Linked DNA regions of Macaca fascicularis. The protein of the gene in region 6 purifies or fractionates together with the protein of the main gene of each other region. This does not show direct contact. Links are inferred from orthologs where the notes say so. Each region holds a gene or a part of one and is shown on either strand. Other genes may lie near its edges. The genes, in order: DDX18, NOC4L, LARP7, KRI1, GNL2, KRR1 and DDX24.

The links.
Region 1: the proteins of KRR1 (region 6) and DDX18 purify together in Homo sapiens (affinity purification with mass spectrometry; 3 studies listed by BioGRID and IntAct, with this or other methods). This does not show direct contact. The link is inferred for Macaca fascicularis from reciprocal best matches to the Homo sapiens genes KRR1 and DDX18.
Region 2: the proteins of KRR1 (region 6) and NOC4L purify together in Homo sapiens (co-immunoprecipitation; 3 studies listed by BioGRID and IntAct, with this or other methods). This does not show direct contact. The link is inferred for Macaca fascicularis from reciprocal best matches to the Homo sapiens genes KRR1 and NOC4L.
Region 3: the proteins of KRR1 (region 6) and LARP7 purify together in Homo sapiens (affinity purification with mass spectrometry; 4 studies listed by BioGRID and IntAct, with this or other methods). This does not show direct contact. The link is inferred for Macaca fascicularis from reciprocal best matches to the Homo sapiens genes KRR1 and LARP7.
Region 4: the proteins of KRR1 (region 6) and KRI1 purify together in Homo sapiens (affinity purification with mass spectrometry; 3 studies listed by BioGRID and IntAct, with this or other methods). This does not show direct contact. The link is inferred for Macaca fascicularis from reciprocal best matches to the Homo sapiens genes KRR1 and KRI1.
Region 5: the proteins of KRR1 (region 6) and GNL2 purify together in Homo sapiens (affinity purification with mass spectrometry; 3 studies listed by BioGRID and IntAct, with this or other methods). This does not show direct contact. The link is inferred for Macaca fascicularis from reciprocal best matches to the Homo sapiens genes KRR1 and GNL2.
Region 7: the proteins of KRR1 (region 6) and DDX24 purify together in Homo sapiens (affinity purification with mass spectrometry; 3 studies listed by BioGRID and IntAct, with this or other methods). This does not show direct contact. The link is inferred for Macaca fascicularis from reciprocal best matches to the Homo sapiens genes KRR1 and DDX24.

Annotation. Positions count from the first base shown.
Region 1 is NC_088386.1:13,953,883-13,957,382, reverse strand, and holds part of DDX18 (ATP-dependent RNA helicase DDX18), read left to right. Parts: intron 1-448; coding exon 449-584; intron 585-937; coding exon 938-1,038; intron 1,039-1,151; coding exon 1,152-1,351; intron 1,352-1,436; coding exon 1,437-1,551; intron 1,552-3,500. UniProt on the Homo sapiens protein: ATP-dependent RNA helicase that plays a role in the regulation of R-loop homeostasis in both endogenous R-loop-prone regions and at sites of DNA damage.
Region 2 is NC_088385.1:139,266,718-139,270,946, forward strand, and holds the start of NOC4L (nucleolar complex protein 4 homolog), read left to right. Parts: upstream 1-1,429; 5' UTR 1,430-1,453; coding exon 1,454-1,570; intron 1,571-1,820; coding exon 1,821-1,941; intron 1,942-2,580; coding exon 2,581-2,687; intron 2,688-4,229. Other genes in the region: ATP-dependent RNA helicase DDX51, read right to left, coding at 667-875, 959-1,262.
Region 3 is NC_088379.1:118,157,164-118,160,663, forward strand, and holds part of LARP7 (la-related protein 7), read left to right. Parts: intron 1-1,957; coding exon 1,958-2,117; intron 2,118-2,985; coding exon 2,986-3,077; intron 3,078-3,500. UniProt on the Homo sapiens protein: RNA-binding protein that specifically binds distinct small nuclear RNA (snRNAs) and regulates their processing and function.
Region 4 is NC_088393.1:11,113,419-11,116,918, forward strand, and holds part of KRI1 (protein KRI1 homolog), read right to left. Parts: coding exon 3,462-3,500; intron 2,409-3,461; exon of another isoform or gene 2,253-2,408; coding exon 2,198-2,252; exon of another isoform or gene 2,128-2,197; intron 2,122-2,127; coding exon 2,072-2,121; intron 1,678-2,071; coding exon 1,581-1,677; intron 1,494-1,580; coding exon 1,416-1,493; intron 868-1,415; coding exon 728-867; intron 355-727; coding exon 228-354; intron 127-227; coding exon 31-126; intron 1-30.
Region 5 is NC_088375.1:197,333,389-197,336,888, forward strand, and holds part of GNL2 (nucleolar GTP-binding protein 2), read left to right. Parts: intron 1-397; coding exon 398-492; intron 493-2,377; coding exon 2,378-2,517; intron 2,518-3,500. UniProt on the Homo sapiens protein: GTPase that associates with pre-60S ribosomal subunits in the nucleolus and is required for their nuclear export and maturation.
Region 6 is NC_088385.1:82,341,901-82,345,400, reverse strand, and holds part of KRR1 (KRR1 small subunit processome component homolog), read left to right. Parts: intron 1-138; coding exon 139-311; intron 312-1,692; coding exon 1,693-1,827; intron 1,828-2,021; coding exon 2,022-2,147; intron 2,148-2,231; coding exon 2,232-2,315; intron 2,316-3,380; coding exon 3,381-3,437; intron 3,438-3,500. UniProt on the Homo sapiens protein: Part of the small subunit (SSU) processome, first precursor of the small eukaryotic ribosomal subunit.
Region 7 is NC_088381.1:162,094,328-162,098,563, forward strand, and holds the start of DDX24 (ATP-dependent RNA helicase DDX24), read right to left. Parts: upstream 2,801-4,236; 5' UTR 2,709-2,800; intron 1,379-2,708; 5' UTR 1,374-1,378; coding exon 662-1,373; intron 1-661. UniProt on the Homo sapiens protein: ATP-dependent RNA helicase that plays a role in various aspects of RNA metabolism including pre-mRNA splicing and is thereby involved in different biological processes such as cell cycle regulation or innate immunity.

The DNA.
Region 1 (3,500 bases), on a different chromosome or scaffold from region 6:
CAGCCTAATATTCTGTGGCTGTATCTGACTCTTCTGTGTCTTGTTGGAGTGAGATTAACAGTGTTTTTTTAAATTGACTTGACACTCAGTTTTTATTAATGTTCAATGTTTTTACTTTTTGTATCAGATTTCTTAAGCATTTCATTTATCTCTGGACTCTCAATTATTTTCCTTGTCTTGGTATTTTTATTTTATATAAATTCCTCAGTTATACCCCTCGTTTTGTTACAGTATGGACTCTGGACTATAACTTACACAGCCATTAACAATGGAGAAACTTGAAAGATAAAGGATCTTTTTGTTGGTATTATCAGATATGAATAATTAAGGTTTAGCCTTTTCTTACTGTGGGAAGCTTTTCTAGGCAAAATAGATTTAGGCAACTGTAGCGATACTAACTTTTTTAAAAAAAAATAAATTTGCTGATGATACATTGTCTTCTGTTTAGGAGCTTTTGAGGATACTTCGTTTGCTTCTCTATGTAATCTTGTCAATGAAAACACTCTGAAGGCAATAAAAGAAATGGGTTTTACAAACATGACTGAAATTCAGCATAAAAGTATCAGACCACTTCTGGAAGGCAGGTATGATTAACACTGAAGCTTAGATACTGGCATCTGCTTTTAGAACTAGTAGATTATAAAGAACATACCAGTATATTCTGTTGATTTTCTGCTATATGTTGGGTCATGTATCCAGCATACATGAAAGACTAAGTTAATTACTGATGTTTGAAGGAAAGTGTTGGAAAGATGTTCACTTCTGTTGTAGCACAGTTCTGACTTATGATTTCGGTATATAACCCAGGTGATCAGTTTCAGCGAAGTAGACATCATCTTGTTCATGTTCTAGCCTTAGTGCCTAAAGTGTGTGTGTGTGTAGTACATCGTAAATGAGTAGGCTCAATGTCTTTCTCCTTTCCCTTTTTAATATTTAGGGATCTTCTAGCAGCTGCAAAAACAGGCAGTGGTAAAACCTTGGCTTTTCTCATCCCTGCAGTTGAACTCATTGTCAAGTTAAAGTTCATGCCCAGGAATGGTAAGCTTTTGTCTGCTTGTTTCTGCCATTATTTCACTAGAGGTTTATTGTAGCTGTTACGGACTCAATGGTGACAACCACGTTTAGACTTTTACCATATGTATTATTTTTAGGAACGGGAGTCCTTATTCTCTCACCTACCAGAGAACTAGCCATGCAAACTTTTGGTGTTCTTAAGGAGCTAATGACTCACCACGTGCATACCTATGGCTTGATAATGGGTGGCAGTAACAGATCTGCTGAAGCACAGAAACTCGCTAATGGGATCAACATCATTGTGGCCACACCAGGCCGTCTGTTGGACCATATGCAGGTAAGAGATGTAGTGCTTGTCTCATTGTCTTATATGAAACATAGACTGACAACTAATAGTTGTTCTTTGTCCTTTGTTTTGTTAGAATACCCCAGGGTTTATGTATAAAAACCTTCAGTGTCTGGTTATTGATGAAGCTGATCGTATCTTGGATGTTGGATTTGAAGAAGAATTAAAGCAAATTATTAAACTTTTGCCAAGTAAGTAGGTAGCATCTGCATTTGGTTTGCAAAGTATCTGTTGGAAGTAGATAAGAGTTGTTCCTATAGAAAAACTCTGCTAATGCCAGAACTTTACCATAGCCAAGTGAGGTAGTTGTGCCAGTTAACCTGAAAGTTAGTTTGGAATACAAGCATCAAATTGATTAATAACTTGATATAGTAGTTTTGCTGTTCTAGAAGTTATAATGCATGTTAAACAGTCTTCACATAGGTCCTGTCCTGCGCCTCTTGCCCATTCTTACCTCATGTAACATCCCCCAAGTAGCCATAGGTTTGTTGCCTTACTTGTACATACCTTGGTTACAGTACTTGCAACATTATGAACTGGTTATAACTAAGACCACGGTTTCCTTCATTGTATAATTTATTTTTTAAAGTTTTATCAAAGTATAATTGACATAATTATATGTGCATTTATAATGTACAATTTTATGTTCCACTGTGACACCATCACTGCAATCAAGAAAATGAACATGTCTATCCCACTCAAAGGTTTCCTCCTGCCCCTTTTCAGTTTCTCCCTCGCACCCCTCCTTACACACATACCTCGTCCCTATAGAGGCATATGTCTCCTTTTCTCTTAAGTAAACCTAGGAGTATCATAGTTGGTATATATTTAGTATATGTTTAACTTTTTAAAAAACTGCCAGATGTTTTCCAAAGCGGCTGTACCATTTAACATTCCTATGAGCAGTGCAAGAAAGCTCCAGTTCCTCCTGTTAAGTCTTGATCATCAGGTAATGTTAGCCCCAAGTTTGTTCTCTTTTAAAGTTGTGGTATTCTTGTCCTTTGTGCATTTCTATATAAATTTTAGAATTGGTTTGTCAGTTTCTCCCCCTTCCCTCCAAAAAAGTCTTGGATCTTGATTGAGATTTTATTGAATAGAGATTATTGGAGGAAAACAATATTAACTCATAATAAGGTATATCTCCATGTATTAGATATTTTGTTTCTCTATAATATTTGGGGGGAGGTTAGGATACAGGTTTAGTCACATCTTTTGTCAGATTTATCCCCAAGTATTTCATTAAAATTTCAAATTCCAATTGCTCGTTGCTTTAATATATGTACACATACACACACACACACATATATATACACACACAGTTGAATTTTATATTGATCTTATATCTAGCAAGACAGTTAATCCTGTACTGAATGAATATTCAGTATGACTTTCCAGATGACTGTAGCCTTTTGGATTTTCTATATAGGCAATCATGTACAGATAAAGACAGTTTCACCTCTTTGTTTATTTATTTATTTATTTTCTTATCTGATTGCCCTGGCCAGAACCTCCAGTATGGTACTGAATAGAAGTGATGAGAGCAGACATCCTTGTCTTGGTTCTGATCTTAGGGGAAAGCATTCAGTCTTTTACCGTTAACTACATATGAATTTAGCTGTAGGTTTTATATAGATGCCTTTTATCAGATTAAGGAAGATCCCTTCTGTTCCTAGTTTGCTGAGGATTTTTAATCAGAAATAGATGATCAGATTTTTTTTTCTGTCTGCTGAAGTAATCATGTTTTTTCTTTAGTTAACATAGTAAATTGTATTGGTTGATTTTTCAAATGTTGAACCACCCTGCATTTGTAGAATAAACCTGCCTAGTCATGATCCATTATCCTTTTTATATGTTGCTGAATTCACTTTACTAAAATTCTATTTCGAATTTTGCGTATGTGCTCACAAATTGTATTGGTGCATAGTTTTCTTTCCTTGTTAATGTCATGTCAGGTTTTTGAATAGTGTAATGACTGACTTCAAAGAATGAGTTGACATATAAATATAATAATAAATTATAATTATATAATAAGTATAATAAATTATAATAAATCTCTTTATTAGAGAGTTTGTGAATAATTGATGTTTCTTTCTTAAATGTTCAATATAATTCACCAGTGGAATCCATTTGGGCCTGGAAT
Region 2 (4,229 bases), about 57 Mb from region 6:
CTTGACAGAAGTTCAACAGCAAAAGTAGACACCACTCACTGAGCAAACTCACCTGTAGTCTCCCATCAACCCACAGTGGCACCCACCCTTCCGCAGCCAGGAGGCCCTGTGACCTGGTGCTCGCCTGCCCCAGCCACGCCGGCGTCCCTGCCTCGAGGCCTCTGCCTGGCATCCCCAACCCTCAACTTTGACCTGGCTTCAAGTCTTCGCATCCCAGCTCAAAGAAAACCTTCTCCACCCCGCCCTACCTAAGGTGCCCAAGCACTCTGCCAAACTTCTCCTTTTCTTCACCTGTCTCACCAGAGATCTCTACCGAAAACCACCCGTGCTAAGCAAAAACACCAAGGGCCAGGGGCTTGCGGAATGGCCTCTGACTTGCTCCTGAGGCGGTGAGCGCACAGCAGGAGACCCCCCCCCCCGCACGTTCACGCAAGCACATCCTGCAGGAGAACTGGCGCGGCGCGACGGGATGGCAGGGGCAAGCCTAGCAGAAAAAACGGGAGCTCCGCACATGCAGGATCCAGACAAACTGCAGGCCTGGCAGTGAGGCGCGTCTGTGACCCGGGAGCATTCGCTCAACGATGCCTTCCGGGGCGACCGCCACACTTAAGAATCTGCGCAGCCTCCCCTCCCACGCCGACCACCCTTCCGACAGCCGCCGCTCACCTTCGGCGCCTTCCTCCTCCCGAACCCCCCCAGCACCAGGCCGGGGACCAGGGGTCCGGCCGCCTCCTCCAGGGCCCGTCCGTCTGGGGCCGCCTCGGCGCTGGCGCTGCGCTCCCCCGGCGCATCCTCGCTGCTCCCTGAGCTGGGCTCCCCTGGCGCATCCTCGCTGCTCCCTGAGCTGGGCTCCCCCGGCGCATCCTCGCTGCTTTCTGCGAGGCAGACACCCACCCGGCAGCGCGTCAGCACCGAGTCGCCGGCGCCCCGGAGGGAGCCCGCTCGCCCCACGACTCACCTGCGCCCGCGTCCTCGCCGTCCGCCTTCCGTCGCTTTCCCTGCCGCGCCTCCGGGCTGCCCGACTCCGCGCCGTTCACCCGCCGCCGCCGCCGGGGCCGCCGTCGCTTCCTGGTCGCCGGCTCGGTCGGTGCAGCCGCCTCGGTCGGCGCGGGCTCCCGCTGCTGCTGCCGTTCGCGGGCCCGGCTCTGCAGCCGCTCGAGCAGCGCGCGGGCCCGGCCGTGGGCCCCGGCCTCCGCGCCCTCCCGCCCCGCCGCAGCTGCCGCCTCGGGGCCCTGGTACCGCGCGACGTAGAATAGCGACATGGCCAGCGGCACGCCTGGGGCTCGGGCTCGACGCGCGGCGATGACGTCGGCGGCACGCCTGGGACTCGGGCTCGGCGCGAAAGACGGGGTTTGGGTGCGGCGCGTAGAGATGACGTCAGACTCTACGCGCAGTGGTGACGTCAAGGGAGCGCCGGCGGCTGGGTACCGCGTTTTGCCGTGTTGGCGGCGGCATGGAGCGGGAGCCGGGCGCCGCGGGCGTTCGCCGGGCGCTGGGCCGCAGGCTGGAGGCGGTACTGGCGAGTCGGAGTGAGGCCAACGCCGTGTTCGACATCCTGGCCGTGCTGCAGGTGGGCCCGGCGGCGTCGCAGGGCCGGGGTCGCGGCCCGGGAGCGGGACTTGAACGGGGGGCTGCGGCGGCAGGGCCCTAGGAGGTTCAGGGACGGCGTTGGAGGGTCAGGGAGGGAGGCGTGTGGATCACGGGTCGGGGGTGACGGGGCTGGCGTCCCGAGGGGGAAGAGAGCAGGGGTGGGGGGCGGCCGAGGCAGGGGCGAAGGTGACAGTTCCCGGCTGGGCACCCTGCCGCCGCCTCTCCTGCAGTCTGAGGACCAGGAGGAGATCCAGGAAGCAGTCCGCACGTGCAGCCGTCTTTTTGGGGCCTTGCTGGAGCGGGGAGAGCTGTTTGTGGGCCAGCTGCCTTCTGAGGAGATGGTCATGACAGGTGAGCCCTGGAGGGCCCCGGGGCTGCTCTTCTCTTTCCGTGGGTCGGAGGGAGGTTTGTCACCGTGGGATGAGCGCCCCCAAACCTGTCACAGACCGTGCAGGCTGGTGGGAGGACACACCAAGCCCCCGCGGAGGATGGATGCAGGGGTGACATGGATACTATATAGCTGCGTTTAGATGAACGCTGGACAAGGTACGACTTTTTGTCTTTGTGCTTTGCACCCATTTTGTAATTTTATGTTGATTGATCTTGACATGGTCACTTAAACTCGGAACTTCCTTTATGTCCCCATTCTGGGGACGTGGGGTCTTGGAGTAAAGTGAGGAGATGTGGATCCTGCCCCTGGCAGCTTGCCTGAGGCAGTCCTGGGGTAGGAGCTGCTCTTCCTGTTTGCAGGGCTCAGGGAACCCGCAGGTCCCAGCACAGGTCTGGGGGCCATAGTGACCTGTTTCCACCTGTGGAGGCTGAGTAGAAGACAGGGGGAGGGTGGAGCCAGGCCTGAGACTTTGGGCGGGGCCCAAAGTGGCATATGTGGGCTGAGCCCCCTAACCTGTCTGCAGGGTGCCGGGGAGCCGCACGGAAGTACAAGGTGTGGAGGAGACACCGCTATCACTGACCGCCTTAACCTGTCTGCAGGGTCCCGGGGAGCCGCACGGAAGTACAAAGTATGGATGAGACATCGCTATCACAGCTGCGGCAACCGCTTGGGAGAGCTTCTGGGCCACCCCTCCTTTCAGGTCAAGGTGGGTCATTGGGCCGCACTCATCTGTGTCCATCCCCTGCACTGCCACTCCCAGGCTATCCACAAATCAGAGGTCTGGGGCTCCCACAATTGTCCAGGGAAAGCTGCTTCCTTTCTTTGGCTCATGGGATCGTCACCTTGTGGGCGTTCAGCCCCGTTTACAAACATGGCTATCGAGTCCTGTACTGAATATTGAAGAGGCACAACCCGTGTTCACCTCCAGAGGCATCGACGGGCATCTCTGTTGCGTAGAGCACACACATCAAGCCTCGTGCCAGTCCACAGCTGTGTTTGCTCAGCCCACACTGTGGTCTGCAGCCATGGGAATGCATTGTGAGCTTTTTTAAAATCTGTATTGAGGAATAAGTGATGCACAGTTTACCATTTAAAATTGACAAGTTAGCGTTTGTTACTGTGTTCACAGTTGTACAGTGGTTACCACTATCCCAGAACATCTTCATCGCCCCAAAAAGAAATCCTGTACCAGTTAACATCACTGCCATATCCCACCCTGTTCCACACCAACCCCCAGACACCCACTCATTTAGTTTCTGGGTCAGTGGGTTTGCTTTCTCTAGACGCTCATCACAAGGGGGAGCATGTGGTATGTGCCTTCCACTTGTCGGTGTGTTCAGAGGCTGGTTCCTCCCTGCGGCTGAGCGGCGTCCCGTCGTGCAGCACGCACCCGTCAGCTGCGCGTGCGTTGCTGGGTATTTGGGTCGTTTCCACCTGTGGCTGTTAAGAACAGTGGACTGTGAACGTTTGTGTACAAACTTTTGTGTGAACATGTTTGTTTTGCTTGAATGTGCCTCATCAGTGGAATTACAGGGCCACACGGCAGTTCTGTTTCTAACGTCTGAGGAACTGCAAGACTGTTTTCCACAGTAGCTGCGCCATCTTACACTCCCGCTGGCAGAGTATGAGTGTTCCATACTCCACGTCTTTGCCGACGCATCTGTCTCTAGTTATAGTCGAGTTGCAGACTTCTAAAAGCTGGGGAGATACTACATGAAAATAACCAGCATCCTGCTTTTCACAAAGAACTAATCAGTTCTGTCAACACTGGGGTCTAAGTTTGTTCATGGCTGTGATTGGCTGGAGGGAGAGTCAGGGACAGCTCTGAGACAGGCGCCTGCTCCTGTCATCCCACACGTGGCTCTTTTGCTTTGTGGTGTCATCTGCCTGGGACCTGAAAGTACTGAGTTTGCCACCCTGAGATGAGAGCTTCTGAGCCTGAATCTGAGTTGGGCAGCATGCTGGCGTCACACCCCTGTTTTCACAGCTGTGCCCAAGGGTTATGGTGGCATTCCTGTGATACAAGTGATGAGAGAGCAGTCAGGTGGCCATAAAGCAGACCTGGGCTGTGTGCCTTTCCCTGGCCAGACTCTCTCGTGAGCACTGGATTTCTTTAACTCAAGATCTTGTCATGCCCATGTCGTGGGTGGGACACGGAAGCCCGGAGTGCCATCTGGTGGCGTGTGGAACAAGAGAAGGCCAGGACGCCCTTTTCTCAGCTCTGGGCCTGGTTGTGAGGGGCTCCCTG
Region 3 (3,500 bases), on a different chromosome or scaffold from region 6:
TTACCCTGCCTGTGACCCATTTAAGTCAATCCTTTTCTTTTTAAAAAGTGTGAAATGCTCTGTAACATACCACATATTTTAAGTATTTTCTTATACTGACATTCATCATCACTTAGTATATTGTTTTGGTTTCACATAGACTCATCAGTCACAGGTTTTAACTTGAATATCATTGAGGTGGTTGTTTATCTGTAAGCACTCCTTATCTGAAATGCTGTCCTACAATCCTATAGCTGTCACTAAGAAACAAATTTTGATTCTCTTTCCAATATTGGTGAAGGATTTGGCCAAATCCAAATTGCTATTACCAACTTGCATTTCAGGAGACAGCTGAAAATTGAGGGATGTAAATACCGCTCTGGTTAATCAGATTGCAAAACATTTAATAAAAAAAATTACTCAGTTATTTGTAATCACTCATTAAATAACTTTTATTATTTAAATGGTAACTATATCAATTACAAATTCATCATTTATGATCATCAAAATCATAAAATCAATCCCTGCATTAATCCAGTTAGTAGTTACTTACATTTTGCTGAAACAAAAACTGAGCTGTGATGGTGGTTACAGCTGTCTGTGACTTGCCCATGTGATTACTAGGCTAATTTGTCCTTCTATGGGTTTTAAATTCTGAGGGTTTTAAATCAAGAGATTAGCCTGACATTATAATGGATATTTAGTAAATATCTTTTGAGTTGTAGTAATTGAATATGCTCAGAAGTCAGTTATAAAACTCATTACTAGTACTGAATGCATTCAAATTTCAACAATACTGAATTTTTTACTTGCTTTATATCTAAATTTGGTACTAATTAATTAGATAAAGAAGTGGGAAGGACTAGCAAGTATATGTCTCTGCAGTTCTTTTTTTTTTTTTTAATTTGGCAAACAGTTACCAAATGCCTGTTTTGTGCTAGTTTGCTGAGTGTTGGGATGAGTTAAGATCTGGTCCCTGGCTTCTAGAAATTCATAGATTTTATTATATATTTTTTATTGTTAACTGATAAACTTGTCTTATTCTATGATGAAATAATACTCCCAGGTATTGCTCAATTCTTTCCATAAATCAAACATCTAAAAATTCAACATTTGAACATAATCTAAATTAGTTGTGTCCTGAAAATGTAGGTTAAAACTAAAGTGAGGCAAGATAAGAAAGATTTTTTTCCCCCATTTAGGAATCTGCAGTTATTTCTTTAGCTTTGTGAATGGAAGTTGATGAATTAGGAATTAGTGTAACATTCCTGCATAAATGCATTGTATACTCTGTAAAACCTGCTGTGAGGGAAAAAAAAAAAGTTGATTAAGAATGCAGGAATCTGGTTAATTTGCCCTCACAGCAGGCAGTGTAGGTAAAACTTTTCCTTGCTGGGTGACCACAACTTGTTTAGAAGAGGTTGCTTAGGTATTTTTTTCAGAAAGTAAGAGCTCTTGAACAATTTGGAAACCTAGTATCTTAGGTTCAGTAAAACTGTTTTTCATGAGTTGTTATTAAAAGTTGAGTGATTTGTACACATATTTTAAAGTCATAGTGATTTTCTGCAGGTGAGTAAAAACAAACCTCCCTTAATCCTTTTTTTTTTTTTTTTAATTTTATTCCTTATACTAACTACTCCCAGATGTGAACCCTTCCTGATTTGGGGATTGGGGGACACTATTTCTGCTTTCTGCTCTACAAATCTGTTGTCCTTATAGAATATTCCCATTCTAGTTCAGATTTTACGGATGTGATTTCAAGAAAATAAAGGAAAATAAATTGTTAGAGTTGATATTATTCAAATCTATTTTTAAGAACATGCTTTACAAGAAATGTTTGATATAGGATATTTGCTCCTCATTAGTCTGCAAAATGCTTTATTTACATAATATATTCTGGCATAACCATTGGAATAGTTTTAGAATTATTGTGAAACATTTTAAATTTTATTTGTCTTTCTACTTAATTCTGATGCAGGATACTTTGGCAGCAATCTCAGAAGTTCTTTATGTTGATTTGCTTGAAGGGGATACAGAATGCCATGCTAGATTTAAAACTCCTGGGGATGCTCAAGCAGTAATAAATGCATATACAGAAATTAGCAAGAAACACTGCTGGAAACTCGAGATCCTTTCTGGTAAAACTTCATAGAAGTGTTTTTTTTTTTTGTAACCATCCTTATTGTGGGTAACATTTTCTGAGTTTGGCTAATGAAACTAGTTTTGTTTTTTGTTTGTTTGTTTTTTGTTGTTGTTTTTTTTTTTTTGGTCTCACTCTGTCGCTCAGGCTGGAGTGCAGTGGTGTGATCTCAACTCAACGCAACCTCCACCTCCCAGGTTCAAGTGATTCTCCTGCCTCAGCCTCCTGAGTACTTGGGATTACAGGCGTGTGTTACCACGCCTGGCTAATTTTTATATTTTTATTTTATTTTTTGAGACAGAGTTTCGCTCTTGTTGCCCAGGCTGGAGTGCAATGGTATAATCTCAGCTCAGTGCAACCTCTGCCTCCTGGCTTCAAGTGATTCTCCTGCCTCAGCCTCCCAGGTTAGCTGGGATTACAGGCATGTGCCACCTTGCCCAGCTAATTTTATGTTTTTGGTAGAGACGGGGTTTCTCCATGTTGGTCAGCCTGGTCTTGTCTTGAACTCCCGACCTCAGGTGGTCTGCTTGCCTTGGCCCCCTGAAGTGCTGGGATTACAGGCATGAGCCACTGCACCAGGCAATTTTTAGTAGAGATGGGGTTTTGCTATGTTGGCCAGGCTGTTGTCGAACTCCTGACCTCTGGTGATCCTGCCTCCTTGTCCTCCCAGAGTGCTGGGATTAGAGGTTTCAGCCACCGCACCTAACGAAACTAATAATTTTATTTCTATTCTGTAATATGTATAAAGTGGCATTAAATATAATCAAAAACTGTCCTAGTTCTGTTACTGAGAATGTAATGCCTTGAATATGGTTTTTCAGATGTGTTCTTCTTTTCATCCATCAGAGTTTTTGTTTGTTTTTAAGGTGATCACGAACAAAGGTATTGGCAGAAGATTTTGGTTGATCGACAGGCAAAACTTAATCAGCCTCGGGAAAAGAAAAGAGGCACTGAAAAGGTAATTAATTCATTTTTGTTTTTTTAGACTAAACTTTCTTTGAACATTTAATGCCAAAGTCAGTATAGGTAGTCATAAAATGATCTTAGCTTTGCTATTACCTAACAAAGATTTACTGAGTATATACTATGTTTTAGGTTGGGAGGAAAAAGTCATTTCTCTAGATTTCAAAATGTGTGAAATTATTTTTCTCACAAGGATACATAATTATAATTTAGAGTTTTTCTTTTTAACTAGTGATACTTTAACAATCTTGATTTCTGGCTGCTATGTCTTGTAGTTTGGTGGTAAATGATTATAGAAAGATTATCGTAATGGTAAAACCACAACATATTTAGAATGTAGTTTCTAAAGATAGGAAGCTCCACAGATAAGATGGAGAGACTTTATGCATAGTGTTTCCTATAGCAACGATAAGCTTTA
Region 4 (3,500 bases), on a different chromosome or scaffold from region 6:
TCCTCCCCAGCTGGCCGCCCCCACACTCACCCTCTTCTTTCGCTCCCGAGTCTCCTCCCTCTTCTCCTTCCTGCGCTCATCCTTACGGCGCACGGAGGACGCGATGCTGCGTGGGTAGGTCTTGACCTAGGGACAAGCAGAAAAGCCCAGAAGGGCCTCAGCGATGGTGTGGAGTTCCCTGGGCCTGGACCCCGGGGGCCGAGTCCTCCCCAGCCCCAGCCACACACCGATGTCGAGTCCGGCTCCTCGAAACGGAAATTGTACTTCTGTTCGAAGTCCTCCTGTTTCTTCAGAAACAGCTCCCCCTCGTCTGAGGAGTCATCCACAGCCAGCTGGACTGGGGGGCCGGGGACCCTGAGGAACAAGATGTGATGACGCCAGGGGGCCAGCCAAGCGAGGTCGAGCCCCCCTTTCCTGCACGTCTGGGTGCGAAGCGTACGAACTCATTTAATCCTCGCAAGAACCCTACAAGGTGCACGCTGCTATTGTCCTCATTTTACAGATGGGGAAACTGAGGCATGGAAGTCTCAAAGCAGAACCAGGATTTGTGGCAGTGCCACCTGGCTCCAGAGCCTACACTCTGTGGCTCTGCCTTGCAGACTAACTCTGCCACCCTCTGTGAAAAAAAATACACACACGGTGCCCTCTGCCTCCTGGCCAGTGCCGCCTGGGAATACGTCAGGAAGCGCACCCAAAATCTAGGCCCTGGGGAGAGGCAGTGGCTCACCCCTCCTCTTCCTCCTCCTTTGCCTCCTCATCTTCCTCCTCATCTTCCTCCTCCTCGTAGCGTTTGTTGAGGATGTAATCCCGCAGAAACCGCTCCCCTTCATCCAACTCAGGGTCGTTCCAGTATTCCTTGAGATGGGTCTGGGGGTGACAGGAGACAGGACTCTGGTCAATGAGGGACAGGGAAGGAGGGCAGGCATGGTCCCTCACAGCCAGCCTCTGGAGTAGGTGACATTAGCCCCATTTTGGTTTTTTATTTTTTTTTATTTCAAGACAGGGTCTTGCTCTGCTGTCCAGGTGAGAGTACAGTGGTGTGATCATAGCTCACTGCAGACTCCACCTCCCGGGCTCACAAGATCCTCCCACCTTAGCCTCCCAAGTGTCTGAGACTACAGGCGCGTGCCACCATGCCTGGCTAATTTTTTCATTTTTTTGTAGAGTGGTTTTGCTGTTGTTGCCTAGGCTGATCTCAAACTCCTGGCCTCAAGCAATCCTTCTGCTTTGACTTCCCAAAGCACTGGGATTACACGTGTGAATCACGGCGCCCACCCTATCCCCATTGAAAGAGATGTAGGAGCTGAGGCCCAGCGATGTGCACATCCCATCTTCAGAGGGTTATCTCTGTACATGGGTTGGATGGAGGCAGAACGGACGGTCTACTCCATCAGCGGCCATGCGTGAGAACTCACCAGTTCCTTCAGCGACTCTGGGTTCCCAATCTCTTTCTGCCCCTTCAGCCACTCGATGTAGTCGGCCTCCTCCTGGGCCTGGGGGAAAGCTAGCACTGAGCATCTGCAGATGCCCAACCACCCGCCGCCCTGTCCCCAGCAGTCCAGTGAGGCCCCGGTACACACCTTCTCCTGCCTGGTTTTGGCACGTTTCTGCAGCAAACTGGAGCCGCCCTCCCCAGCGCTGTCCTCGTCTTCACTGTCCTCCACAAATGCCCGGAAGCTGCCCACGAGAGAAAACAAGCCTCAGGACAGGCAGGCTGGCCCCTGTCTGCTGCCCCAACATTTATTTTGTAGAGCCGTGGTCTCACTATGTTGCCCAGGCTGGTCTTGAACTCCTGGGCTAAAGTGATCCTCCCTCCTCTGCCTCCCAAAGCCCTGGGATTACAGGCGAGAGCCACCTCACCCGGCCGGCTGCCCCAAAATTAATCCCATGTACTAAGCCCTGAGCTCTCCTTTCAACAAGCTCAGAGCAGTGCTGTGATGTTATTAACCCCGTTTAACTGATGAGGAAACTGAGGTACATAGAAAGTGACAGAGCTCAATTTGAACCCATGCCTATCCAACCCGAGCCTCAACTTTCCTCCATTGGGCCATTCCCACCCACCCAGCCTCACCTTTCCTTGAGCTGTTTCTGTTCCTCCACATAACTTTGCGATGATGTCTCCTGCAGAGAGGGCCATAGAGGTCTCAGGCCAGCCCTGGGCCCCTCAGCCCCCCACACCAGCCTCCACCCCACCCACCTGGAGTCTATGATTGGAAGTCTCCCCGTCTGAGTTCTCCTCGTCGACATATTTGCTGTAAAGGAAAAGTGGGGTCTTCAGAATGTATCTTCCAGGGCCCACCTGTCCCCGTGCCCATGTGGAGCGGCTCTTCCAAGCACCGGCTGGCGGGGGTCATCGGAGGGCTATGGAATCAGTGAGGCCCCTGCTCTCAGGGGTACCTGCGATTCTGGTGAGTTTCCAGCCTTTTTTTTTTCTTTTTTTTTTTATCTTTTCTTTTCCAATCATGGGTGACAGCATTTCTTTTTTGGAGCCAGAGTCTTGCTCTATCCCTCAGGCTGGAGTACAGTGGCATGATCTCGGTTCACTGCAACCTCCACCTCCCAGATTCAAGCGATTCTCCTGCCTCAGCCTCCCCAAGTAGCTGGGACTACAGGCGCCCGCCACCACATCTGGCTAATTTTTTTTTTTTTTTTTTTTGAGACGGAGTCTAGCTCTGTTGCCCAGGCTGGAGTGCAGTGGCCGGATCTCAGCTCACTGCAAGCCCCGCCTCCCGAGTTCACGCCATTCTCCTGCCTCAGCCTCCCGAGTAGCTGGGAGTACAGGCGCCCGCCACCTTGCCCGGCTAATTTTTTTTTGTATTTTAGTAGAGACGGGGTTTCACCGTGTTAGCCAGGATAGTCTCGATCTCCTGAACTCGTGATCCACCCGTCTCGGCCTCCCAAAGTGCTGGGATTACAGGCTTGAGCCACCGCGCCCGGCACATCTGGCTAATTTTTATATTTTTAGTAGAGACAGGCTTTTGCCATGTTGGCCAGGCTGGTCTCAAACTCCTGACCTCAGGTGATCTGCCCACCTCAGCCTCCCAAGGTGCTGGTATTACAGGCATAAGCCACCATGCCCGGCCTTTTTTCTTTTTGAGACAGGGTCTTATTCTGTTGCCCAGGCTGGAGTGTAGTGGCCTGATCATAGCTCACTGCAGCCTCCATCTCCTGGGCTCAATCCTCCCGCCTCAGCCTCCTGAGTAGCTGGGACTCCAGGTACACATCATCACGCCCAGCTAATTTTTAATTTTTTTGTAGAGGCGGGATATGTTGCCCAGGCTGATCTCAAACTTCTGTCCTCAAGCGATCCTATTGCCTCAGCCTACCAGAGTGCTGGGATTATGGACATGAACCACCACGCCCAGCCCAAGTTGCCAGCTTTTTTCCTCCCTGCCCCTAAGACCCCCATAGACCTGACAGGACTGGGAACCAGCGGGGGGGGATGTAGGCCTTCTCCATACCCTGCCTTCTCCAAGATAACCTTCCTCTCGTAGTCCTTC
Region 5 (3,500 bases), on a different chromosome or scaffold from region 6:
TAGTCATCTACTTTGCAGTTTGTTTTAGAATTTGGAATCCCAGCGTAAATCACCCTCTACTTGAACAATTCATCTAAAACAGCCTTCGAATAGTTACCCAAAAAACTCAAGTATGTGTTTTTTTTTTTTTAAAGTAAACAGTAAACAGATTTTTTAAAACGTCACCGTTGTTATTCATCTAGCAGAAATCATTACGTGCTCTGTTGCAAGAGGTTAAATGGCTTTTGGGCAATCTGTTTCAAATGTAGAAGTACTTTGTGTTTACTGGAATTGGTATTTCATGATCATTTAAAACCAAAGTAAGAAGTCCTTTTGATGGAAAATATATTCTGTAAATCAAACTTTGCTGTTGCCATTCTTCTGTTGTCAACCAATATCTGTTCTTTCCTCAATTTAGGAACAGTCGTGGTAAAATAATTAAACCCCTGCAATATCAGTCAACGGTGGCTTCTGGCACAGTAGCAAGAGTAGAGCCAAATATTAAATGGTTTGGTGAGTATTATCCCCTGCTACTTTGCTCTACAAAATGTATGCTGAATGGAAACGGCTAGGATGTTTAAATATCTAAACGATAGGAGTTTTTGGTGAGTGGAACTGTCAAGGATTATCTGAGAAAGGGATAAGAAAAAGTACTGGGAAAAGTAGTGGTGGTAGATTTAATAAATAACTTCTTTTTGAAGAGCGCTCACCATTAGTAATTGTAATTGAACCCTCTTAAGCAGATAAGACCGTCCTTAATGACTAGCATTCACAGACCTTAGAATGCTCATCTTGATCTTTTATGCTTGCCTGGAGAGATACTGTTTGAGAGGTGGCCTTGTAGGTGTTTGTGCATATATCCTTCAGGGTAAGTGCATTAGCCCAGAGTTCCTCTGAAACACTTCTTAATGGAGTTTTTATTTGAACTTGGGTGACAATTAAAGGGTCTCACTGTTGAACCTTCCAACAGTGAATAGAGTATCTTCAGTCACAGGGTGATCACGGCTTCTTCCTTGGGAAACTCCCTGTTCCATTTCAGTCTGGGCTTTTAACTTTGCCCTTAGCCACTGGTAATGTATGGGCACTTTAGATGATCAGACCCCAGTGTTTGCTTGGTGTTTGACCTCTGTCCTTGGGGGCAGATGGCAGCTACCTTTGAGTCTCTTATACTTTTGGTAGGATACTTCCTAGGAGCTGCAACACAGAAAGGTGTCAAAGAAAACTCTGCAGAGAAGCATTTAGCATGGCTGCCGGGTACTGTGACTCCAGATTAGACTGCCTGGGTTTGAATTCTAGTTCTGTCATTTATGTGCAAGTTATTAAGTCTGTCTGTTCATCAGTTTTCTCATCCCTAACAGAGAATAAGATGAAACCTATCTCACAGGACTGTCGTGGTAATCAAATGAGTAAATACAAGCAAGGCACAGTGGCTCATGCCTGTAATCCCAGCATTTTGGGAGGCCAAGGCTGGTGATTCACTTGAGGTCAGGAGTTCGAGACCAGCCTGGCCAACACGGTGAAACCCCCATCTCTACTGAATATACAAAAATTAGCCAGGCATTGTGGTGGGCACCTGTAATCCCAGCTACTTGGGAGGCTGAGGCAGGAGAATCCCTTGAGCCTGGGAGGCAGAGGTTGCAGTGAGCTGAGATTGTGCCGCTGCACTCCAGCCTGGGTGACAGAGTAAGACTCTGTCTCAAAAAAAAAAAAAGTAAATACATATAAAGTGCTTAGAATAGTACCTAGCAAATAGTGAGTATAATATAAGCATTCCTTGCTACCATCATTACCACCTTGCTGTTTTGCATTCATGCTGCAGCATGCTGTTTAATTGAATGCTTTTCAGGATCTCCCTCACAAGGTGTTTTCCAGGTGGAACAAGCAGGGCTCTGTCTTGTTCCCTTGCATGGATTCATTGGTTAATGAATCATTAACCAATTGATTAACCAATTGAGGTCCCTTTGGATCCTCATAACCCTAAAAGTGGTAACTATGACTCAGGTTTCAGTGTTTCAAGATTCTCTGTCTATACTGACTGATCAGCTGTGATTGGCTCCAAGTTTCTCTGCCAGATCTAGCAGGAAGTAGGACATTTGTCAGATCTCAGTTCCATTCCACGCTATTTATTTCTCAGTTTCATTTAGTCAGGAAACGGCTTGGAAAACTATTGAAACCTTTTGTGGGTCTGGGTTGGTGGAATAGTTCATAGTGTGCAAGTGCAGGAGAGGCAGTTTTTTGGGTTTTTTTCCTCTTTTAAGTTTGGAAATAGCTCCAAGGGATGGATGGATCAGGTACTTGGGTGAGTGAGGGTAATTTAAAATCTTGCCTTTCACCGTGTCAGTGGAAGATGAATGTGCAAATATGTATTAAGTGGCAACATTCTTTATTTGTAAAACAGGAAACACACGTGTGATTAAGCAGTCATCATTACAAAAATTTCAAGAGGAAATGGATACAGTTATGAAGGATCCATACAAAGTTGTCATGAAGCAAAGCAAGTTACCAATGTCTCTTCTCCATGATCGAATCCGGCCTCATGTAAGATGTAGGATATCCCTGGCGATGGAATTTCCTGGGCAGACTCCTTGCAGCTCCCTCTCTAACATATTTGTCTTTTGTTTTTCTTAGAAAATAGCAATTTCAGTGTAGCAATGATGAACTTCCTAAGACCTCTGTTTTCATCTTTTCACGTTTAGTATGAAGTATGGTAGTGTAGTGGATCAAAGCACAGGTTTTGGAGTTGAGACCTGAATTTTAATCCTTGCTCTATCCATTCCTGTACCCTTAGTTGGGTTTCTCTATGAACTTGAACTTCTTTGCTTTGAAAGTATAAATAGGCTGGGCGCAGTGGCTCACACCTGTAAATTGGGAGGCCCAGGCGGGCAGATCACTTGAGGTGAGGAGTTTGAGACCAGCCTGACCAATAAGAGGAAACCCCATCTCTACTAAAAATACAAAATTAGCCAGGCATGGTGGTGCATGCCTGTAATCTCAGCTACTCGGGAGGCTGAGGCAGGAGAATTGCTTGAACCTGGGAGGCGGAGATTGCAGTGAACCAAGATCGTGCCATTGCACTCCAGCCTGGGCAACAGGAGCGAAACTGTCTAAAAAGAAAAAGAAAGTATAGATAACCCACCTCCTTGGGTTATTGGCTACAGATGAAACGTCTGTAAAGCACTTGGTCCGTAGTAAGCACATAGCACACCACCTAATAAGAGCTAAATTGATAACAGATATTAGTAATATTATTTATTATTATTTATTTTGGTAGGCAAACTTGTTTTAAGTGGTAATTCCATCAAACATTGGGACAGCGTAGAATTAGGATTGAGTTGGTAGAACTTTGGTGTTGGGTACGTTCAGCTTTTGTAAGATCCTTGAGATTTCTTCTCAGCTGAAGGAAGGGGTGCTGGTCTCATTGGCTGTCAGTTGCTGAAGTTTGAAGTACGGTAAGGATTCAATCTGGGTTGAATGGAATGAGTTTCACACAGAACAAAGAAAGAGTCTGATGTTTGTCTGCT
Region 6 (3,500 bases):
CGACTCTTGAATAATATAAAAAGCGGGGAAAAGGAAATGCAAGAAGTACTGGAAGGCTTATGAATATGTGCATAGGATGTTCATAAAGTGTCCAAAAGACAGTTAAAATGTGATGTGTCAATTTTTTCCTTTCTGTAGATGAATCAGAACTCCTTACTGTTCCCGATGGCTGGAAGGAACCAGCTTTTTCCAAAGAGGACAATCCCAGAGGACTTTTGGAGGAGAGCAGTTTCTCAACTTTGTTCCCAAAATACAGAGAAGCTTACTTGAAAGAGTGTTGGCCATTGGTGCAGAAAGCCTTGAATGAACATGTATGTGTATCTTATAATAATACATTTATTTGAGACTTTGCTCTTGCTTATGCCTTTAAGTGTATGTATGCAGATGCATTTTTTTTTTAATGGTGCTAACATAGCAATGGTGCTGGTTACTTTGGTTCCTTTGGTATTTTAAACTATTTAGGTACATTTTCTTCTTACCTAATGTTCATTTGTTTTAAATTTTATGAGTAATAAATTACTTTGAAAAATTTGCATACCTTTAATATTTTAGGAGCTTCACAACTGTCTGAAATTCACCTGTGAAGTCTCAATTTCAGAATGCCTGCTCCAGGCCATGAGAGTTGTCATGTGTCTGTCCCAGTCTGAGCTGAGTCATGTTTCTAAATGGATTACTTTTCATCTTAAATGGAAGATGTGGATGTATCCAACTTTTCCTTGTTTATGCTGATGCTGTGCCCCTAGATAACTGCATTTTTTTTTTTTCCCCAAACTGGGTATTGAAACCCATTAGTGTATTGAGAAGTCAATTTAATGGCTATAAGGAGCCTTTAGAAAACGGCATATCCATGGTAAAAGTATGTTTTTTTCATATTGGCTTAGTTGTGTGTGTGTGTGTGTGTGTGTGTACATTTATTAGGTTGTGATATAAAATGTGTTTCTCACTGTGGGACTGCTCTGGAGTTGGTTGTGCCATTGTGGGTGAAGGTGGCTCAGCAAGCTGCAGGTTGTGTTTTATAGCTGCGTCTGGGATTGAGCTCTTTTTTTTTTTTGTAAACTCATAGCGACCCAACCATATATTGAATTGTTCAACACTTAACTATGTTGAAATATTCTTGAGATTATGCTCACAAGTGAGAAAATAGCATTTTAATTTGCTTTGTTGAAATCTGTTTTTTCCTGTTGAAAGTTAATGCTTAAGTTTTCTAATCGTTGCTTTTTTCTGAAACTATGTTAATTTGCTTTTACTTAGTATTTAGTCCCCTAATTAGCTAGGAAAAAAGTTTGAAAGGGAAAGTCAATTCTTACCCAATGGAGCAGATGGTAGACTGGAGCTGGGTCCAGAATAGGGAAGCTGTACAGCTTTACATTTTTATCTTAGTCAGATTTTAAGTATGACCCCATTTGTTTCATTTATAATTTTAAAATTAGAGGCAATCTATATTCCAGTGGGTACAAAGTATTCTAAAACCAAGTGTAAATGGTTTCAATTGCTCCAGTTTCTTATAGTCTGTAAAGTGTGAAAGTAATTGAGTATTCATTATTTATACTTAACTACCTAGCTTCTTCAGGGAAGTAATTGATAGGAATTGAGAGGTGACAGAAATTAATAGGTTGGTTAGGATAGGCTTTATATTTATCTAAAAATAAACTCATTTTTAGACAACTGCTTGTTTGCTCTTTCCTTTTGTAGCATGTTAATGCAACCCTGGACCTGATCGAAGGCAGCATGACTGTCTGTACTACAAAGAAGACTTTTGATCCATATATCATCATTAGGGCAAGAGATCTGATAAAACTGTTAGCAAGGAGTGTTTCATTTGAACAGGTAAATCTAAAATTACAGAGACTTTGCTTTGTTTGCATCAGTGTTAACCTATAACATCCCATCTTTTCCGCCTTCCACCATCAAGTTTTCGTATTTGTGCTTAGATAACAATAGCATGGGCTTGGAAAATAAATGTAATTGTAAAAAATGTTGATAATGTCTGTTTTTTTTTTTTTTTTTTTTTTTTGCAAAAGGCAGTACGAATTCTTCAGGATGATGTTGCATGTGACATCATTAAAATAGGTTCTTTAGTAAGGAATAAAGAGAGATTTGTAAAACGAAGACAACGGCTTATTGGTCCCAAAGGATCTACATTGAAGGTATTTTTTTATTAGTGGAAAACTTGAGTCTCTCCCTTAATAATTTTTCAGAGTAATGAATTTTAACCTGATCTCTTGATACAGGCATTGGAACTCTTAACTAATTGTTACATTATGGTTCAGGGAAACACAGTTTCAGCCATTGGACCTTTTAGTGGCTTAAAAGAGGTGAGAACTATGTATTATCTTCAATTCATTTTCAGCAGAGAACAAATAATTTGGTTATAATATAGTTTATTGGATAATGCTTTATAATTTTATTTTTTTAGAATGTGCTTTGATTTCCCATTAGTAAATACTTTTTATGTCATATAATTCAAGGGAATCATCATTTCTGGACCCTAACATGTTTTGGCCAACCTTGGCAACTAAGGAGACATGCATTTCTGAATTAGAAGGTCCGCACACTATTACTCCTCCGCTATAACATTTAAATGAGCATTTAAGATCTTCAGTCTGTAGCACAGACGAAAAACGTGGAATAGTCACATATGCCCAAATGATGCGAAAATTGAGCAAAACTCCAGTTATTTGCAGTAGTGTATACAGCCAGTAGAGGTCACACTCTGAAAACTTTTCTTCAAGATATGTTTTCTTTTGTTTGAATTTTAGTATAATGTTTAATAACTTTTCATGAACATTTTCTTTAACTTTTTAAATTAAATGTGAGAAAATCTGTGGAGCAAATGCTATTTCTTTTAACTCCTTTTGGTACTATTACTGTCTGGATCTGGCTTGTGAGGTTGTGCTTCCTTTCCAGGGCCTTTAATAGTAATCCTATTGGCCCTTTTTGTCATAAATTGTCTGCTCTTTTCTCATGGAGCAATAATTAAGTATATTGAATACTTTAGTTTTATAAAGTCTTTAAAATATTTAATTCTTACAATAGAGTCTTGAGGTATATGATTTTATCTTTATATTACAAATGAGAAAGCTGGAACAGGAAAGTGACCTTCCTGTATGCAATGGCAGTCCTTGTATTCCAGCCCTCTTCTTCCTAAATCACGTTGCTATACAGTGTTGTATTAGTTCTCTGTGCTACATTTTAGCAGTAATTGAGAAACTGTATTGTATTCAAGGGAGGTTTGACTGCCTCTATGAAAGATCTAATTATTTAATTAAATTATTTAATTTGATACCCATTACCTGATTAGATATTTTGCAGTATTTATCCTCTCCTCCATAGCTCATTAAAATCCTTGTGACTAATTCATTTTTCTTTGCAAATTTCAGGTTAGAAAAGTAGTCCTAGATACTATGAAGAATATTCATCCAATTTATAACATTAAAGTGAGTGATAATTCTATGTGACTACCAGTGATTATCATACTTCTTTTAGCTACAGAATCCTTT
Region 7 (4,236 bases), on a different chromosome or scaffold from region 6:
CTCCCCCAAGTCAGTAGTCTAGTTATCCAGCAAAGCCAACCTGTCGTTGCTTCCAAAAGTCTTGCAGGAACCTCACACAGCCTAGTCCTAACAGTCACGTCATAGCTGAATCTGTTTACAAAATCCACCCAATGACTATCCATCATACTCAAATCCTTCCAATGACAAGAAATTCATCAACTCCCAAAGCAGCAACCCTTTTCACCTTTGCACAACTCCTGAGAATTAGACAGTTCTTCCTTATACTTATGAAGATCGACCTCTCCAGAGGGCTGATCTTAGCCTTACCTTACCCCTATGAGTCATTCAGAAAAGGCTCAAGAACAGGAGAAACTACCATTTGCAGACCACTTCCAATGTACAGTGTAAGCTTTAGCTTACTGTAGCATTTAACTCTCACAGCAATGCAAGAGGTAGAAACTGTTATCTCCATTTGGTTGATAATGGGGTCTACAGAGCTGAGAGAGATAAAAGTGATGGCTAGGGTACCATTCAGGAAAAGCATATTTCAAACCAGAGGGGGCTGACTTCTAAACACCTTTATTCAGCGTTGCTTTTGTGGTTATGTTCTCAACATTCTTCTCTCTCCCAATTATCTGGCTTATTAGTAGCTATGGGCTCAATCCAGAAGCAATCCTGCCTTGGCCGGAGTTGCCCTTACCTGTCTCAGCAGCCCCAAGGATGTCCAGTCTGTCACGGATGGCAGGTGCCAAGGTCAGGGCTTGGATCGGTGTGGGTGCAGAGAAGCCTAGAAAGCTGAGTGCTCGGAGAACCGGCCTGGGAACAAACAGGTCCTTCCAAGCTGACACATCTGCCTTCTGATCATGAACTTCAGGAATCCATGTCTTCACTTTTTTGGGCACCTTAACAGCAGTGCTCTGAGAAGGCTCCAAACCTTTTTTCCCTTTATTTTTCTTCTTTTTTGGAGCAGTTTGGACCAGGTTTTCTGATGTCTTCTCTCCAGCCTCCGGATCATCACAAACCATGCCATCTCCCTGGGCCTCCAGCTCAGAATCTTTGACTTCAACCTCTTTCTGGGTACTAGTTCCTTCAGTTGCTACATTTTTACTTTTCTTCAACTTCATCTTTTTCTTTGGTGAGCTAGACTCTCCCTCCTCCTCTTCTTCTGAAACAGCTTGTGCCTTTCTCTTGGGTGCCTCCTTTGAGAAGAGACTCGAGGGATTCTTGGCAGGAGAGACCAACTGGTAATCTGTCAATTCCTCAAAGCATACCAAATCATCCATCTGTCCATCTGCAAACATATTTGGGTCAATCTTCACTTCCTTCCATTTTCCCACAACTTTGATTCCCTTTGTCTGAAATTTGCCATAGTTTGATGCCTTTGGCCTTGATTTTGTGTCCTTCAACTTCATGGTTGCTGAAAAGGAGATACATGTTCTATTAGGTTGGTGTCTGAGAAGCAGAGGGTTCTGATGCAACAAATATTTTCTAAGCAACTAGGCCCTACAAAGAACTGAGGATACAAAGACGGCTATCACACAGTTGCTCCTACCTAGAGAAGAACAAAGAAGGAAATACCACAGAACAGACAGCTTTGCCCGAAACACAGGGTACACATGTGATGGAACAAAGACGTATGAGCTAGACCTGGTTTGAATTCCAAATTCAACACTTACTGCGTGTGTGACCTTGGATAGTGCCACCCACTCCTCTCTGAACTTCAGTGCTCTCATCTATAAAAAGGGGGAAGAGTACCTAACAATATCTAAGTTGTATATTTTGTGTAAATAAAGGAAATTATGTAAAGCACGGAGGATGAAGCCTGCCACACATAAGCCGTTCTGAAGGCAGAGTAAGAATCTGAGGGGTTTTTCTTGTGGGGGCAGGAGGGGTGAGCTTTATTAAAAGCGTATTGCGCTTGCTTCCTTCTCAAGCCTTGCCTGAGAGAGCAAATGCCTGCTCTACCATCCCTTCCTTTGCCAAGCGTCTTAAAACCCATCCAGCTTTTTCATCATATTTTAAGTGGCTTAAAGGCCATTTAGGCCCAACTCGTTTGGGTGGAACTCGATCCAGGTTTTTCCTTTTCAGAAAGCCGAAGGAAGACAACACGTTCCGTGAAAAAGACCAAGGTAAATCTTGGTTCAAATCCGGATCCACCACTCGTCAGCTGTGGCTCTGCGGTGGACGTATCCATCTCTGAGTCTCTATTTCCCCGTCTGCATAATGGGAATAACGAGGACATTTGTCCCACAGAATCGTTATACGCCACTACGAAAAAGTGACGCACGTCAAAAACCGCTGAGCATGGCGCCCGGCGAGAAGAGCACGTTCGCACACGGTGCCCGCCGGACCCGCTGCGCCATGGCAAAAAAAACACGCGGGGTTCAGCGAGGAGAGGGCGGGGGGTGCCACGCGAGGAACCGGGCGAGGACACGGGGAGCGTCAGGCAGAGTAGAAGGGCCTCTGTTTCCTCGTGACGCCGGTCTCGCGCGGCGCTCTCGCTTTGTCTCAGGCACGAACGCGCGCACGAAACCGAGAAGCCGAGGCCGTCAGGCCCTGATGCCCAGACAAGGAGCCCAAGGCGCGGGGACCATGGCACGCAGCTCGGTTGGACGGCTTGGGCCTGCGGGCGCCCTCTCTGGACCCGGGAACCCACCGGCCCAGAGAGACCTGCGAATAGGAACCCGGGTTCCTGGCCTCAGCCCCTCTCCAGGGTCCGCTCCAGCCCCGCTCGTTTTGGTACTCACCGTGTGAAGACGCCACGGCAGCTCCGTTGGTCGCCGGTCAGGAGCCTCAGAAACCGCCGCTGTACCTCAGCTGCAGAAGCAACCGCAGTTCCGGGGCGGGACCTCCACACACGTACTCGTGCGCGCTGCGGAGGAAGTCCCACCCCTATGGCAAACTCAGCTATCTGATTGGCTGCCTCGCGGACCAAAGCTGTGCTGATGGGAGAGCTGGCTTGGGGCGCTGGCCCCTCCTCTTCCAGCTCTGCTCCTCCCCGCTTAGGGAAAGGCCACAGAAGGTGAGGTTCTGTGTGCTCCCTCCGACTAGAGACTTTGTCAGGTACCTCACAGTAACGTGTTTTCTTTTATTTTTGGTGTAGTTTTGTTACCAGAAAGGGGTCCCGATCCAGACCCCAACAGAGGGTTCTTGGATCTTGCGCAAGAAATAATTCAGGGCGAGTCCGCATAGCAAAGCAAAAGCAAGTTTATTAAGTAAAGTGGCGAAAGTGCGGCTACTTCGTAGACGGAGTGGGGCGTTCCCGAAAGAGGACGTACGCGTCCATCGTAGGGAGATGTATTCTGCTACAAGGGTGACCTGTGATGAGTGTTCCTTGTATTGTAATTGTTTGGGGCCGCCATGAACTGTGCCCATATAAGACGACAAACTTAATTGATAAATGTTGTGTGTGTTCAGACTAATCCACTGACAGGCCGTTCTCCCTTCTCTCTCCCTTTCCTTGGGACTCTATTCCCTGAGACACAACAGTATTGAAATTAGGTCAATTAATAACCCTACAATGGGCCTCTAACTGTTTAAGTGAAAGAAAGAGTCGCACATCTCTCACTTTAACTCAAAAGCTAGAAATGGTTAAGCTTAGTGAGGAAGGCATGTCAAAAGGCAAGATAGGCTGAAAGCTAGGCTGAAAGTTTCACCAAAAAAGTTAGCCAGTTTGTGAATGCAAAGGAAAGCTACTGAAGGAAATTAAACATTTTACGCTAACGAACACATGAATGATAAGAAAGTGGAACTGTTTATTGCCGATTTGGAGAAAATTTTAGTAGTTTGGATAGAAAATAAAACCGGCTACAACATCCCCTAAAACCAAAACCGAATCCAAAGCAAGGCCCTGATTCTCTTCTGTTCTGTGATGCCTGAGAGAGGTGAGGAAGCTATAGAAGTTTGAAGCTAGAAGAGATTATTTCATGAGGTTTAAGGAAAGACGCTGTCTCCAGAAACATAAAAGTGTAAGATGAGGCAGCAAGTGCTGATGGAGAAGCTGCAGCAAGTTATCCCCAAGATCTAGGTAAGATCACTGATGAAGGTGGCCACTGAACAGCAGGTATTCAGTGTAGACAGAACAGCCTTCTATTGGAAGAAGATGCCATCAAGGACTTTCATAGCTAGAGAGGTCAATGTCTGGCTTCAAAGGCCAAGCTCACTCTTTTGTTAGAGGCTAATGCAGCTAGTGACTTTAAATTGAAGCCAGTGCGTGTTTACCATTCTAAAAATCTTAGGTCTTTTAAGAATTACACTAAGTATAATCTGCCTGTG